Alligator mississippiensis: one gene and its partner. The main gene of each other region encodes a partner of the protein of the gene in region 2 in a complex. Links are inferred from orthologs where the notes say so. Each region holds a gene or a part of one and is shown on either strand. Other genes may lie near its edges.

Region 1 (7,388 bases), on a different chromosome or scaffold from region 2:
TTTTAATGCCATGCATGTGAATTACAAGGTTTCAATATTGCAAATGACTAGCTTCCCTTGCCAGCCCTTGGTTTATAAAATCTGTTCCTCTCAAGTAACAAGCACGATCCGATCTCCACAATTTTAAGAAACGTTTCTCTCAACACACTGTCCCCCTTTTCACTTCTAAACTCACGGAATGTATGGCTATTACCTTGAGCCTCTTTCAGCTCTAATACCCTTGTAGTCTGCCTGTCCCCTTGTGTTCCTTGTAAACTGCTTTTAGTCAAGTCTCCAATAATCTCTTCCTAGCTAAAATCCAACATTTGTAATTTATGACTTGCCCTGATTTTTGTGCCTGTTGATCATATTTACCTAGAAATTAAAATGTCCTTTCCTGCTTCTGATTTCTCTGATCATGCTTTCAACACCTTTATTGATGGGTCTTCCTCTTCCACAAAATTATATCTTCTCAATTATATACCTCCCCAAATGGAATCTAATTCATTCACACACAGTACTGGGCAGGAAATACTTTTCCAGTCCAACAAAAGGTTTTGTTATTTCAATAGCTTTCCCATTCCATACTGGAATGAGAGAAAGATATGAATAGACAACAGTACAGTGGAAAGCGAGAGAGGGAGTATAGGCAACAGCACTGTGGAAAGAGCTCTCCCCGGGAATGTGAAAGCCTTAGATTCAAGTCCCAGCTGCTGGAGACCCCGCTGGTCTCCCATGTCCGGAATGAATACCCCAGCCACAGCACTACAGAGTCAGTCTCTCCATGTGTCCTGTAAGAGCTCTTTCATTTTGTAAATATTATTCATTATGCCAGAGGCTCAGATTCTAGTGGCCAGAGTATCATACCAAAGCCAAGGAACATGCCAAAGCCAACATCCTGCTCTAATGAACTTTTAACTAATTAAACATTCACTGAAGCAAGGGCATGACGCTTCATTTGACATATCCCAGGTTGGTGGCCTGAGCACTGGGCTGCAGTATATCTTTCTGGCAAAATGAACAGTATTTATGCAGTCAGTCAGTCTCTCCCTCCCTCCCACCCCCCAAGACAGACAGCAAATAATATTTACATACAGAGGAAAAGCTCCAATGAGGGAAGTTACAGGATCCACCAAAAACAGAACAGACAATAACCTGACAGTTGGGACCTCTTATGTGGGATGTAGAAGACCATGGTTCAAGTTTCTGGTCTCTCTCCCACTCTCTGTTTTCTTGTTAAAAAACCAAAATGAAAACCATTATGGACTTGAGAAACCCATTCCAAGCAGCGTCTGGTGTATTCCCACAAAACGTTTTAGTTAGACTGGTCAGCATTTTCAGACAAAACAAGTATGTTGTTGTAAAATTGCTAAGTAGCTCCATGTAATAGCATATCTACCTTAGCCAACTAATTCTGCTGTGGAAGCAGCAGACCAGGCAGTGTATGTTGTAGTGCAAGCTACAGCCTTGAGGGGATTTACTAGCGACCGAACTCACATTTTCATGCTTCATGTGTTTCAGAAGGCGCAGTTCCCGGTAGGCTCGCTTGGCAAAGAGTTCAGACTGAAATGGGCGATACAGTTTCTTGATAGCCACTTTGGTGCCATTTCTTCCATCAATAGCGGAGCTTAAAGGGAACACAAAGAGTTTGTGAGTGAGGTCCTGAGTAATATTGAAAGACTCATCAGCTGAACAAACTGAACAGCTGAACAAACTGAACAGTGGATGAGAAGTCAGAGAGTCCTGGTACGGACCATCTGCTTGGCCCTGCCACTACTTTTCTACTGGACAGAGGAAAAGCCACATACCCTCTTCGCTGTAACGTACTGCACTATAAAATAGAGATCACGAGCTAATTCCCCCCAGAGAACCTCATCAGCAGGATGTTAAGTCTATGTGCACTAACTGTAAAGGATCACCAGGTGAACATAGAGAGGCCAATATCAAAAGTTGTGAAAGGCTACACCTGGGAAAGAGAAACAGGGACACATCCAAATTCCACTAGGCTGCATCCAACTAAGCGAGACTTTCTGGTAGAGAAAGAGAGGAACAACTGAATAATTATCTCCTAAAAAAAGATCATCCATCCTAGCCAGGTAAGATGTGGCATAAAGCAGCTGCGCAGAATTGCAGGGTTGGAAGGGCCTTCCTGATAGCATGGCTATCTAGCCACAGGGCCACCAGCCAGGCCTCACTACCACAAAGACACGCCCTGAGAAGTTACAAGAGAAAAGAGGGTTTTGCACAAAACTCAGCCCCAGAGCAGGGCAGAGGAGCAGAGCTGCGGGGCGCCAGCAAGGAAGGGGCTGAGCGGCCGCCGGCTGCCTCAGGAAACAGCTCTTGGACGGGGTCTAGAGCTGCAGGTCCCGGTTTCCCCCTCGGGAAACGCCCGCTCTCGTCTGCACTCGGGTTTTTCCCCGCGGGACGGCTCTTACAAAGTGCTGCAGGCACGAAGCGGCCGCGGGGACTCCTCGGGGTCTGAGCCGGGAGTGGCGCTTGCGGCCCCGCGGGCGGCAGGGAGGGAACAAAGCGAGGGAAGCCGCTCACCACACGGCGCCGTAGGCTCCGGCCCCCACGGGCTGCAGGTCCCGGTAGCGCTCCCGCACCTCCCACAGCGTCTTGGTGAGCTCCTGGCGGTAGAAACCCCTCTTGGGGGAGCTCATGGTGCGCGGCCCCCGCCCGCCAACAAAGAGCCCCGCGGCCGGGCTGCTGCGAGGGGCTGGGCTTGGACACGTCCCTCCGCGAGCGGGGACTGGATGTGGCTCCGGCGCCTCTTTCCCCTCCTCCTTCCTGCCCCTGCTCGCCATTCACTCCGCGAGGAGGGAGGTGCTCGCGGAGGCCCTAGCTGCAGCGGGAGGCTCCCCCTCGTGCCAGACCTCGCTGCCCGCCCCGGCGGCTCCTCCCCGAGCGCCCCGCCGCCGCCGCCGCCCGGTCTCGGGGCGCCAACACCTCGTGCCCCGCGGGGCCACCTCCAGGCGGACCCTGGGCAAGTGCTAACGCTTGGCTTTGGGCTGCACGAGAAGAGCAGAGCAGCTGCCGGGTGTGGGAGAGAGCTCCGGGCTGCTCTGCCCGTGGCACCCTGCCTGAGCCCCCCTCTGCTCACTTAACAGGACCCAGCTGTGCTGGGGCACCAAAGCAAAGCAAGCAGGCTGGCACCCAGCCAGGGGTAGGCAAGAAGACTGCTACTCCTCCCAGCAGGACGCAGGGCTCAGCCAGTCCTACTGTTCGGGGGGGTGTCTACATGTGCATTAGTTAATGCGGATTAAATCTTGTACCTTTGGGCACTTACGCACATGTGGCAAGTCTGCTGGAAATCCAGCATGTTGGAGCAGGCTTGATTAATCAAGTCTGCTGGAGCACATAAATTGACATGCCTAGTGCTACTAGGGTTGCCAACACTAACTAAAGCTATTCCAGGAGATTATTTTCCCCCAATATAATGTAATGTCATTAATTGTACTGTCCATCCCATTCACAGTATCAGTCTCCCAGATTGCTTTCAATAGTCACCGGGAGATTGATGCCGATTCTGGTAGACTCCAGGCCAATCTGGGAGGGTTGGCAACCCTAGGCACTATGCCAGGTCCAGGTGCATCATTGTTTTTTAGTGATACATTAAGGCACATTAAAATAGGCTAATGCACATTAAAGTGCATGTGTAGATGCACCCATAGTGCCCATATGCAGTTTGCCCCAGGATAGATAAACAGTGCTTGGAGGAAAGTACTCAAAATGAGATAGTCTTGCAGTAAAGTCCAGTGTGTTTGTTAGTTCCAGGTTTTTTTCTGAATTAGTTCTGTGACAGGAAAAGAAAATCCACTTGAAAGCAAATGTATATGGGGAATGGGGGGACCCGGGGCAGTTTGGATTTTTCTTTTACCTGCCAGGTTTGATATGGGTCTGAAGATACTTGCAGAATAGGAGAGACGTTGTTATTATTACCATTACATTCCAAAAGTAAATAAAGGCTTTTCTCAAACTCACTCAAAGTATGAAAAAAGAATTGAAAACATTCCCTGCTTCAAGAAGCCTGTAGTCTCAAAAGATAATACAGATAAACATATAAGCAAGTTTATAGTGAGAAAACTATTTCAAGTTGTAAGTTACAATAAGCACATCTTCCCTCTTTTCTGTCACATTCAAGCCTTTACCTGCACCTCTCGTGGTCCTTTTCTAGTTCTATTCAAACTCTTTGCTCATTTCCCTGTCACTACCCCCATTTTCCTGCTTCTTCATACCAACTCCACAAATGATGTATGTGGCTGCCCACATAATTTTTCACGTCACTGATTAGCATCTCTCCCCATTCTGTATCAGCAGAATGGAAGCTGAACACGGATTATTTTTCAGGCAGAGGAGAACTGATATAGGAGAGGAATAGATCATGGGATGCCACTACAATTGAGAGAGGCAATTATCTGCATCTAGAAGTGACAAATACTTCCAGCTACCTTCTCCTGATAAGTTCTAGTGGTATCTTCCTCTTGATATCCGCTGGCTATTTTTTTCATTTGTTTTCTTCTTCCTCTTTTGCTTCCATCTATTTTACCCTTACCTCTTTTTTCTTATTCCTCCTTGCCTTTCCTTTCTCCACTTACTTCTTTTGCTATCATTCTTAGAAGCTCTTGTAAACTCCTGCTTATTATTACATACTATTCATACTATAATTGCACCACACAATACAAAAGTTACTTGCTGTTTATCTACCTTGGAGCAAACTGCAGGTGCATCTACACATGTACTTTAATGCCCATTAGCCTATTTTAATGAGTATTAATGCATTACTAAAAAAGTGCTATTTACTTAAAGCACATTAAAATAGGCTAAAGTGCATATGCTTACACCTGTTACCTTTGCTATTCAACCTTATCCTAGTATCGGATTCAAAATTACCATCGTATTTATTATATTTAAAAGATCAACTCCTCTACACTTGACTTACACAGTCACTCAAGGCAAGGAGGCCAATGCATTACAGGTTCAAGAGGAAAACATGCAAGCTTAGAACAATTTCAGTGCAGGTATATGGAGCTTAACAACATCAACAGTATTTCTTCAGTAAGTATGTCAGGCACATGATATGTACAGCAAACACATACTTTAAAAAAATTTCTGTGCGACTACAACTAGCATTCTTTTTCTTTGGTATCTAGTGAAGCCTTTCTTTTGTCTGATTTCACTCCTAAACAATGTTGCTGAGGTTAGATAATTCAGGCTTGCTGTCACTGGATTCAATTTGTAGCTTAGCTAGAAGGGGGTAATCAACTTCTGCCTGTGGCCAAGTTTCATTGTCTCTGTTGCCTTTTTGGTAGTTCCCATGGACTTTGTCCCTTTTAGTTGTAAATAGTAAATTTGGAAAAGCAGCCCCACCCTCTCCTTGTCATGATGTAGACATCAGAGCTAGGAGAAAAAACAGGCTTTCTAAGTTGCTTGGGGAGAGGCCCTGCAAAATCACCAGCACCCACAGTTTTGATATTTTTTCACAACACATGCATTTTCCATGGTGGTTCTGTACTGAGAGCTGTCCCACTTACCTTGAAGTTTTAGTAATCATGGAAACTACAGACCTTTGTACACTTGGCAGGTACTGTAATGCAATGAGTGTGTTGAGTATTAGATTAACGATATTGATCTAATTAAAAATCAGGACCCCAATAGGATTTCTGTTTTCAAATTATAATATTATAGATGTTGGAAATACTTTTATCCATGTTATACAGTGTCCTTCATCCAAATGATGCGCTGGGTACAGTGAAGTCTGTTGTGGTATGGGGAGGGCTCAGTAATCAATTTTCAGCCAATGTATTATTTATTCAAAGGGTACCTAACATGCAATATATGTTTTTGTTTTCCAGTGTAAATGGACTTCACCACTGTACATTCTAACACTCAGTTGTCCTTTCCCTGGGAAACAGAGGCCATTAGCAACTTTTTTGCAGGGAAGAAAATGGTTGACTTTGATACTGTAGGACTAAGACACTGAATCTGACACAAGACAACATTGACATTTGTCAGAAACTCAGAGTATTTAGAATAACTACACACTCTGACTAACACCTTCCAAAATATCTAAGACTACTTTTTGGCTTGTCTCCTTAACATTATTACTACATGTGGACTAGATGAACAGAGATCCATTATGTGCACCTCTTCCAGGTTCTACTGTCAAACTGTAGCATTTCTAGTCAACAATATCCAGCCACTGGTGAATGTAATTGTATCAGTGTGGATGCCTGGCAATTTTTGGTTGAAAGGAAATCACAAAGGAAATCACCACAAGAACTAATATTATTGCTATCCCCTCCCCTCAACACAAACCTGACTGCCTGGGGTTCAAAACTGAATGTAATCAAATGCTGCTTGGGTTGACAGGTTATTATTTTATAGTCTATATCACAGAAATACCTTGGAATTTAGGAATCAGGGCATTACTGTGCTACGTACGGGGCAACCATGAAGCAAAAATACACTCTATATTCCTTAAATTTATGATTTTGGTTGTATAATAAGACAACACAAACATGTATGAGGAAGGTGGAGAATGATGTAACCAACATTAAATGATAAGGTTTGTCTGGTATTTAACACATGTAGTTTGAAAGGCTCTAAAGATGGTCCTAAACACCAAGGCCTCTTAAATTTTGGCATTTCCATCTCTAGAAGCTAATATAGCACCAGGCAAACATCATCACCTTTTCAAAGCCCTTGCCCATAAAGGGCAGGTTTGCAGGAAAGCAATTGGCAAGGCTGTTGTTGTAAAGAAATGCAGAGATAGACTGGGGCATGGATGTGGGATAAGTATACTTGCCCTTGTAATCTCTTCCATGGTTAATAATCCACTAGGCCCATAAGGCTATTTTAGCTGAAGGGAAGACTCATCCTGGGCCTTAAAGAAAAGTAGATTAGACTTCTTTTCACTGTTGTTCCCCTGGGTTCTGCAGACTGTGGATAACCATGAATCAGGCCCCACCAACACAGGCTGCCCAGGCAAGGTGCAAACTGGTGCTTTCCCAGTCAGCATTGCTCCCGGATTCCTTGGACAATCCTGTCTAGTTTGCATTCTGACCCAGGGATTTTGAAGACGAGTGAGAAAAGTGCATAGTGGGACAATTGCATATGGTCTTGAAAACCTTCTCCATATAATTGGTTCCATACATAGCATTGAAAAGCTGATTTAGGCTCACTACAAAGTCTCATCTTTGCTGTTTAAAGAATAGACCACATATTTTTCAGAAAGTCAGAACAAATTAAAATTAATTTGATATTTATTGTCAAGGCAGTTCTATGCTTTAAGTGATCACACTATTAATGTTGTATTTACAGCAGGGGAACCCGAAGTGTTGTTCATAGAGGACCACTTAATGTTGGGTGCTGCATAACAAAAGGTGCAGACAGCTTGAAAGGCTCTG
Region 2 (7,613 bases):
ATAGACCTGATTTTCTTCACTGTGCTGAATACAAGCCTTCATTCCTGTATTAAGTTCACTCCCTTTCACAAAGCCTTGCTAAAAAGAGTCTTCTATCAATCTGCTGCTGATTCTACACAGCAAGTTGCAATAAGCTCTTTCTCATATGAAGTACTGATTCAGTTTGGTGTCAAAACTGAGACAGAAAACACACACACACTGGGTGCTTCTACATGTGAGCTTTACTGTGGAGTAGATTAATTAGGTCCACACTAAAGTGTCACAGTCTATACATGCACTGGTATTAAGGCACAGGAATTAACTCCGCCATAGTCTGTCAGGGACAGTACTATCTTAGGGCAGAGTATTTGCATGTGATTGAACATGTGTAGGCTGTGACATGGGCTAGTTAGGACACAAGGGTGCTAAAGTGTGGGGGCTGCTTCCAGGCTAGCCCCACGCTATAGCACCCTTGTGCCCCAGCCGGCCACTTTGCTGCCCTCTGCCACCACCCTGAGCCTGGGGCATACCCCCAGGACTTTCTGCCAGTCTGTGGCTGCTCCACCCTGGCTGAGACTTCTGTGGTTCCAGGTGCACATGTAAATGCTGTGCCTTAAAGCACATGAGTGGTGCAAAGTGCACCAGAGTTTATTGCATCTCACTAATAGCATGTCTAGATGCACCCACCTACCCATTCACCCACACACACCACCAAGTTCTACAAACTATGTGCAGAGGAATAATTTAATAGTTTCATTGACCTTATATAGTCCATAAAAAGCAGTTGTATGATTTCAATCCAATATTGCTGTTATTTTAGATTGAGAACACAATTAAGCTCACCACAAACAAGCACTATGTATACTTCATTTCTGTCACACAGACTGCAACAAATCTGAAAATAAAACAACTGTTTGCTTCTGCACACAGATTTCACTGGAATAGAAAAAGAGCACTTTGCAGACAAAACAAAGCATTACCGTTCCATAGCCACAAATACCACAATTCTTGGCATCCTTTAAGAATTTTAGAAAATGTCCATTGCAGTCATTTGACATCAAAATCCTCCTAGGGTATTGTTCCTCTGCCAAGCAAGCAAGGCCCAGTGCAGAACCAATCTGGACAGCAAAGGAGGATTAATGCTACCCTTGTAACTCCCCACTCTTGAGGCCTCCGAGAAAGCAGCCAGAAGTGGTTTGATCCCATAGAACATTTCAGAGCACCCCAGGTATTAAGTGCTAAGTTGCTCCCTGCTGCTCTGAGGAAGCTGTTCTGGCAGCTGGGGGTAGCTGTGTTTTGATCATACTTCCCTTGCAACAGCCCCCACTCCTATACAGGGGGTAGGAATATGGGGAACAGCTTGATCCTTTGATATTCAGAGATAATTTTCAGGAATCCAATTTTACAGCCCATTTGTACTGATCGGTGCTGAAGAACTGAAGGTCTGATGCTATGTCTTTTCCATCAAGACCTCTATAACCATCAGTCATATGTATGAGGAGGGAGTGGGTTTTTATTTTTTCAGCTCACTGGCATGGTTCTTTCAGGGGAACCACACCACAAGCATGCTCTCAGGTAGGAAATAAACAGTGGGAGAAAGAAAAAAAGCTGCCCTCTTCTCTTCAAGCTTGTGTTCTCCTTCATGTAAAAGGAGGAGTGTACAGAATATAAAGAGGACAAAATAGACAATAAATTTCCACTCCTGGAGATTCAGTGTTTTCATGGAGATGAGGCTCTGTTATCTTGTTAATCACTCAAAAAAAATTCTTCCATGTATCTGGAAAACCCTGTAGAACATTTAGCAAACTACATCTTCATTTTCAGATGAAAACCAGTCCTTTTATTAGAAGCAAATCTGAGGCGATAACATGTTATCAAATCTTATGTTGCCAAAACAAAGAAGCCAAGTCACTTAAAAGCTAGAAAGCACTATATTCAGGAGGAGGGAACTGCCTTGACTTTGAAGCTTCACTTTGGCAGGGCATCCAAGAGGTTTACGGGCATATCAGTTCCAAATTCTACCCTTCTTTATGATTTTGCTTAAACAGCTCCATTTTAGACTTATTCAATCCATACCCATTAGTAATTAGTTTCCTAAATTTTTGGTTTTCTGCTACATTTTTAGTCAACAGTACTTAAAATTATATTTGCCTTTGTCCAAAAATGGATAGATAACTCCTTAATAACACTGCCACCACCAACGAGAAAACGAAACAAAACAAAAACCGACAGCCCCCCCATATGTTTCCTCCTCCAAAAACAAGAAAAAAAAGCGATATTTTATTCATTTACTGTTTCATTTTCCTGTATTAAAATAAATATTAAATTGGCAGTGAAGCTCAGTGACAGTTCACTTCTGTTTCCTGCCTGAATTTAAGACAGTGCTGATAACCCTCAGCTGATATTTGGACAAAGGGATAGAAAGCTTCCTGACAACTTAAGAAAAAAGTCTCTGCATATTGTATTTTTCATGCCCTGTCTTGCTAGAAAATGCTTTCCCAGCGCTTCAGTCTATTATGCAAGTTATTTCAAGGTAACAAAAACTCACTGTTCATGTCTCCAATACTGAAGCAGTTAATAGCATGAATAAAGTTTGCAAATAAAAGCAGCAAGTTTTACATTTAAAAACTTTCAAAATGCTTCATAGAAGAGTCCTTCAGGTAAAAACGCTTCTCTTTTGCCCATCAAGCTTACAAGTTCATAAAGGTAAAGCTAATTGCTTCTACATTTATTCATTTGAAGACTTCTTTACTACTTCCCATACTTTTACAACTACAATAGCTAAATTTTTTTCTTTCATTTTCTCCATTTCTTATCAAAAATCAAATTTTTCACACTTACATTTTTCTGGAGGATAACTACACGATTGCAAAATCTCTTGCTCCACCATGGTGCTCTGTGCTGGATATTTCTACAGTCCCTTTAATAGTGTTTCAAAAAGTATTTTGGAAAGCCAAGCTCACTCATGCAAACCTCTGATCTTCTCTTGTACATTTGGCTCCTAGGTGCTGTCACATGTTGTTATTTTCCCTTCTGCGAAACCTGTGAAACAGGTCTAGGAACACACATTTAACGTGTCAGAAAAGGTTTTAATTGATTCATTGCAACAAATATCCACCCTTAAAAATGCAGCGTGCATCTGATTTGTGAATGGGAGTAGTCACCTAACACTTCATTTGAAGTTCCAGTACTTACACAGTTTTACAGTCCACATGCTTTAAAACAAAACTAGGTTTAAATTTGGTACTGGAAAACCTGCAAAAAATACAAGGGGTTAAAATAAAGATATACTGCATAAAGTAAATACTGAATAACCAACACAGTACAATAAGTATATTATACAGTATTATAATTTTGTTTTTTCTTGTGATATTTGGGTGCCTTGTGGTAACTGGAATCAGATAAAGCCTCCTTATATGTGCTGTTTTGGACTACTTTATTTTTATGGTACATGTGCAAAACAGTGACAAATTAAAATTTTGTGTTCAATAATGTAATTGCTTTCAGTCATTCTTTATGTTTTGTATTTATGTGATCTATTATGCATACTTCAGACTCCTCGTCCAGCAAAATAATAAAATTGGGGATTTAAGATAGTGTGCTGCTATGGAATAATTGGTGGTTTTCCTCTTTTAAACATTTACTAGTTTGTTTTCTATTGAGGCAGGCACAAAACTCCTATTATAGACTTAAGTGCAACATTATGACTGATCATTTAGGAAAGTTGTTCAGCAGTAAGCGTTTGAGCCTCATAACTAAAATGATTATATTGTGTCTGAAACACCAGAAACACTGGGGTACTTTGTCAATAAATAAATATTGAGTAATTGTTAAAAAGGCTTTTCTTTGCCAGTTACTTTATCAGGGGCGGGCAATTATTTTGGGTGGATGGCCGCTTACTGAGTTTTGGCAAGCCATCGAGGGCCACATTAATATTAATTTTCTAAATTTTTTAGGGGTCCTGTGGGCTGGATAGAATGGCCTGGTGGGCCACATCTGGCCTGCAGGCCACATTTTGCCCACCCCTGCTTTAGATGATGCTTTTTTTAAATAGTTATTTAGCCTTGGAGCTCCACATCACACCCAACACTGGACTGTGCCTTCATGACACGCTCTGATCTTTCATGATTTGAGCTGCACCAGTCATGGGAAGTGTTGCTATAGGAACATAGCAAAGTAGGACTGAAAACAACCTCACAAGGTCATCTAGTTCAGGCACTTGGTCAAGACAGGATCATCCCTGTCTAAACCATCCCAATCAAGTAACGTCTCAACGTACTCTTGAAAATGTCAAGGGCTGAAGATTACACAGTTCATTTAAGTAGCCTGTTCCAATGCTTGACCTCCCTCATAGTCAGAAAGTTCCTCCTAATCGCCAACCTAAATTTCCTCTGCTTCAGTTTAAGGCCATTACTCCTAGTCCTGTCCTCTATGCCATAGAGAAAAGTCAATCTTTATTCTCCTAAGGTTCACCCTTCAGTTATTTGAAGACTGTTATCAAATCATCCCTGCCCCCAGTCTTCTCTTCTCTTAAATAACCAACTCTTTAAGCCTTTCCTTGTATGTCATGCTTCCCAGTCCTCTAATCATTTTTGTTTTTTTCTGCTGGACTGATTCCAATCTGTCCACATCTTCCTAAAAGTGTGGGGCCATCTGCCACTTCCTTGTGTGCTCGAGCAGGGGGGAGTGTGCAGCTCTTCCCTGGGTGCTCCAGTGGAGGAGAGAGCAGCCAGAGCTGTTTCTGGTCTCCCAGCGGGTGCTCCTCCTGTCTCCATTTTCCAGCCTATTTTTGGCCTGTTGCCCCTGGGCTCTGGGCCATTCAGTGGGGCTCCTCTGGTCAGCATGGGGCCGACTGGCTTGGTTGTAACCTGGCCACCCATGCCTCAGTACAGAGGCAGGTCCAGTGTGTGCCTATTACACCCAAATCCTCCTTTTTTCCCTTCTACTGCATGCTTGGCCATACCATAAGCTACTGAAAGTGAGGCAGCACTGTCTAATGAAGAGGTTCTCAACCTTTTTAGATTCAAAGCAGCCCTCATTAGACTCAAGGCCCCTCTCAAAAAATACCAGTTCTTTTAACTGTTTTTTTTTACTACAGAAAAATACTAGAGCATTTCTTCTGTTGCAAAGAAAATACTAGAGCAATTCTTTTGTTGCAATTCTCCTGTAGCAAATGGGAGGTATGGATTCTGTTCCTGACTACTTTTGATTTGCTCAACCAGTTTGGGCAACTTACTTCATCCCTTGGGGCTTCTGTTTCCTGGTCTGTAAAAGGGGGATAATTACTGTTCCCATTCTTCATAGAGTACTTTGAACCTTCTGTAGGAAATGTGACATGAGGGAGCTAATGTTTGCTATTAGTCACTTGTAAAATATTGTAACAAGGAAGACAGTAGGCAGCTGACATTTGAAAGACCAGAGATGGGAAGTGCTGCATTTTTAATGGAACATGAACTTATAATAATAATTTTTAAAAAAGAGAGAGAGATTGGGAAATTTGGCAAATGATCATTTTTTCCCTCACAGTGGGACCTTGTGAGAGAAACTAAATCAATTCTCACCTCTAAAAACAATAAGTCTTCCTAGAAACAGCAAGCCCATTGCCCAGAGGAAAATGAACTCATATGGACATTTCCTGCCTTTATCTCACCTGGATAAATAAAAGTCTGTCATTTTAATTCTGTTGGCATGCCATATTCTCCAAGACCATATGCTTTCACTCTCTCTCCCCCCAAAATGAACTTTTTCACATGGAGGTGGTCTTGAAAATACAGATACAAGTTCTGATAAGGTTGTATTTTGTAGTAGCTAAACTTATCTTTGTGTTCATTTTTCATATGTTTTGATACTTCAATATGAAAGAATTGTTTGTGTGCAGACACATTTGTGTGGGTCTCTTGGCAGAGGGCTTCCACTCAGGGCCAAACTAGCCATATAGGCAGCACAGATGGCCACCTAGGAAGGCAAATTGTAGGAGTAAGGAAAAACATTTCTTTGGATGGGCACACAGAGCATGCATTTGGCTGGGCCCAGGCTTGGCATGATGCCACCACAGCAGCAGAGAAGGCTTTATCACAGGTAGGTGCCAGACAGGGACAGCATAAACAGAATCAAGAACCAGCAGGTCAGCCTGGCAAGATGCTGCCATGGCCTGGCCACTCAGCACCCTGTATGCCATGGTACCACAGGGCTGTTCTGAGGGGCAAGGTGCTGCACCACTGCTAGTGCATGGGGGACTCTGGGCAGGCTCCCAAGGGACACTGCTGCCACTGAAGCTACATTTGAGTTGGGGCACAGTGGCATGGGGGCCATGCCTAGCTTCCTGAGGCTCAAGGACAGGGCAGCCACACCACATGCCACACTTCTAGGTGCAGCAGCTACTGGGAAAAACCTGGGGGGTTCTGTATGATGCAGAAGGGGCTGCCTAATGTCAGGTCCTCCAAGAACAAAAAGGCAAGGTGGCAAAATTTCATTTGCCTAGAATGGCAAAGAGTCTTATGCTAGCCCTGCTCGCACCATTCCCAAGCTGGAACTGTCGGCAGGTTGTACCATGGGCAACTGGTGCCTCTTGACTCAGGGGGCCCACGTGCCCTGACCGGGGTAGGGGGGAGGTGTCCCTGTGGCCAATCACACTTACCAAAAGCAGCCACACCACTTCCAGAAGTCCCATAGCCACGTCTGGAAGCAGCTTGGCCACTTTTGCTGGTGGCCCCACTCCCCAGCTGGTACTTGCAGGGAGGACGCTGGCACTCCTGCCTGCCCCGCTGCTGGTCGCCTAAACAGGGAGCATGGCCTGGCAGGGGGTGCACCAGCATTCTCCGGGGGTGCACATGCACCCCTGTGCACCCCCTATGTGTTGCCACTGAGTTGTACCATTATACAACCATTTAGAGATGAGTTTGCCACAACATGGGTTTCTAGCAAAGCCAAGTCACTGGATCCATTCCAATATTTGTACACCCACACAAAAATACTCATTAATTAGGCATAAAGTTGCTAGGCTTCATATAATATCAACATTATGAAATGTTCACTCATTTAACACCTACCTTCTCCAGCAGTTGACTTTCTCCTTTTGAGTTCCTTTCCTCCTGCTTCACAGTCCACATACCTGCACCCCCATCTGAAGAACCAAATGACACCCATAAGCTCTAGTATTATGTGCTGATGACTTGCATATAGTTAGGCTTGGTAGAATTGGATTTTTTAAAAAATTCCAATGACTAAAATTGATGTTTATTTTTAAGCATTTATTTAGATCTTTATTGATTTAAATTTTCAGGATAGTGCGAAATTAGGGGTGAGGAGGGCAGATAATTTAATAATGACAATATACTGTTAAAAACACTATAAAATCACATATCATAATGTGAAAAATAAATATCCATAAATTAATAAATCATACCTGCTTTAAATCAGTCTATTCATTTGGTAGTACATTCATAAAAAAGTAAAAAAAATAAAAATAATTTAAGAACATAAAGACCCTGGGATGGCAAAAAAAAAAAAAAAAAAATGAAAAGGACAAAAAAAAATCACCAGATTTTGTATTTTTTCTAATTGGAGCACAAGGGAAGTCCATCCCAACCTATAGGAAAGGTGGTAAAAGGGCTCAGCAACCCCTTTAGCTCAAC

The links.
Region 1: the proteins of PTPN3 (region 2) and MAPK12 are in contact, whole or in part, in a crystal structure (PDB 4QUM), measured with the Homo sapiens proteins. The link is inferred for Alligator mississippiensis from reciprocal best matches to the Homo sapiens genes PTPN3 and MAPK12. Residues at the interface, in NP_002820.3 of Homo sapiens: Arg655, Leu671, Asn674, Arg675, Tyr676, Lys677, Asp678, Val679, Arg751, His812, Ser843, Ala844, Gly845, Ile846, Gly847, Arg848, Met883, Gln886, Thr887; in NP_002960.2 of Homo sapiens: Met182, Thr183, Gly184, Tyr185, Val186, Val187, Arg189.

What each region holds. Positions count from the first base shown.
Region 1 is NC_081827.1:40,034,195-40,041,582, forward strand, and holds the start of MAPK12 (mitogen-activated protein kinase 12), read right to left. Parts: upstream 3,012-7,388; 5' UTR 2,787-3,011; coding exon 2,527-2,786; intron 1,607-2,526; coding exon 1,477-1,606; intron 1-1,476. UniProt on the Homo sapiens protein: Serine/threonine kinase which acts as an essential component of the MAP kinase signal transduction pathway.
Region 2 is NC_081828.1:77,596,253-77,603,865, forward strand, and holds the start of PTPN3 (tyrosine-protein phosphatase non-receptor type 3), read right to left. Parts: upstream 3,006-7,613; 5' UTR 2,870-3,005; coding exon 2,821-2,869; intron 1-2,820.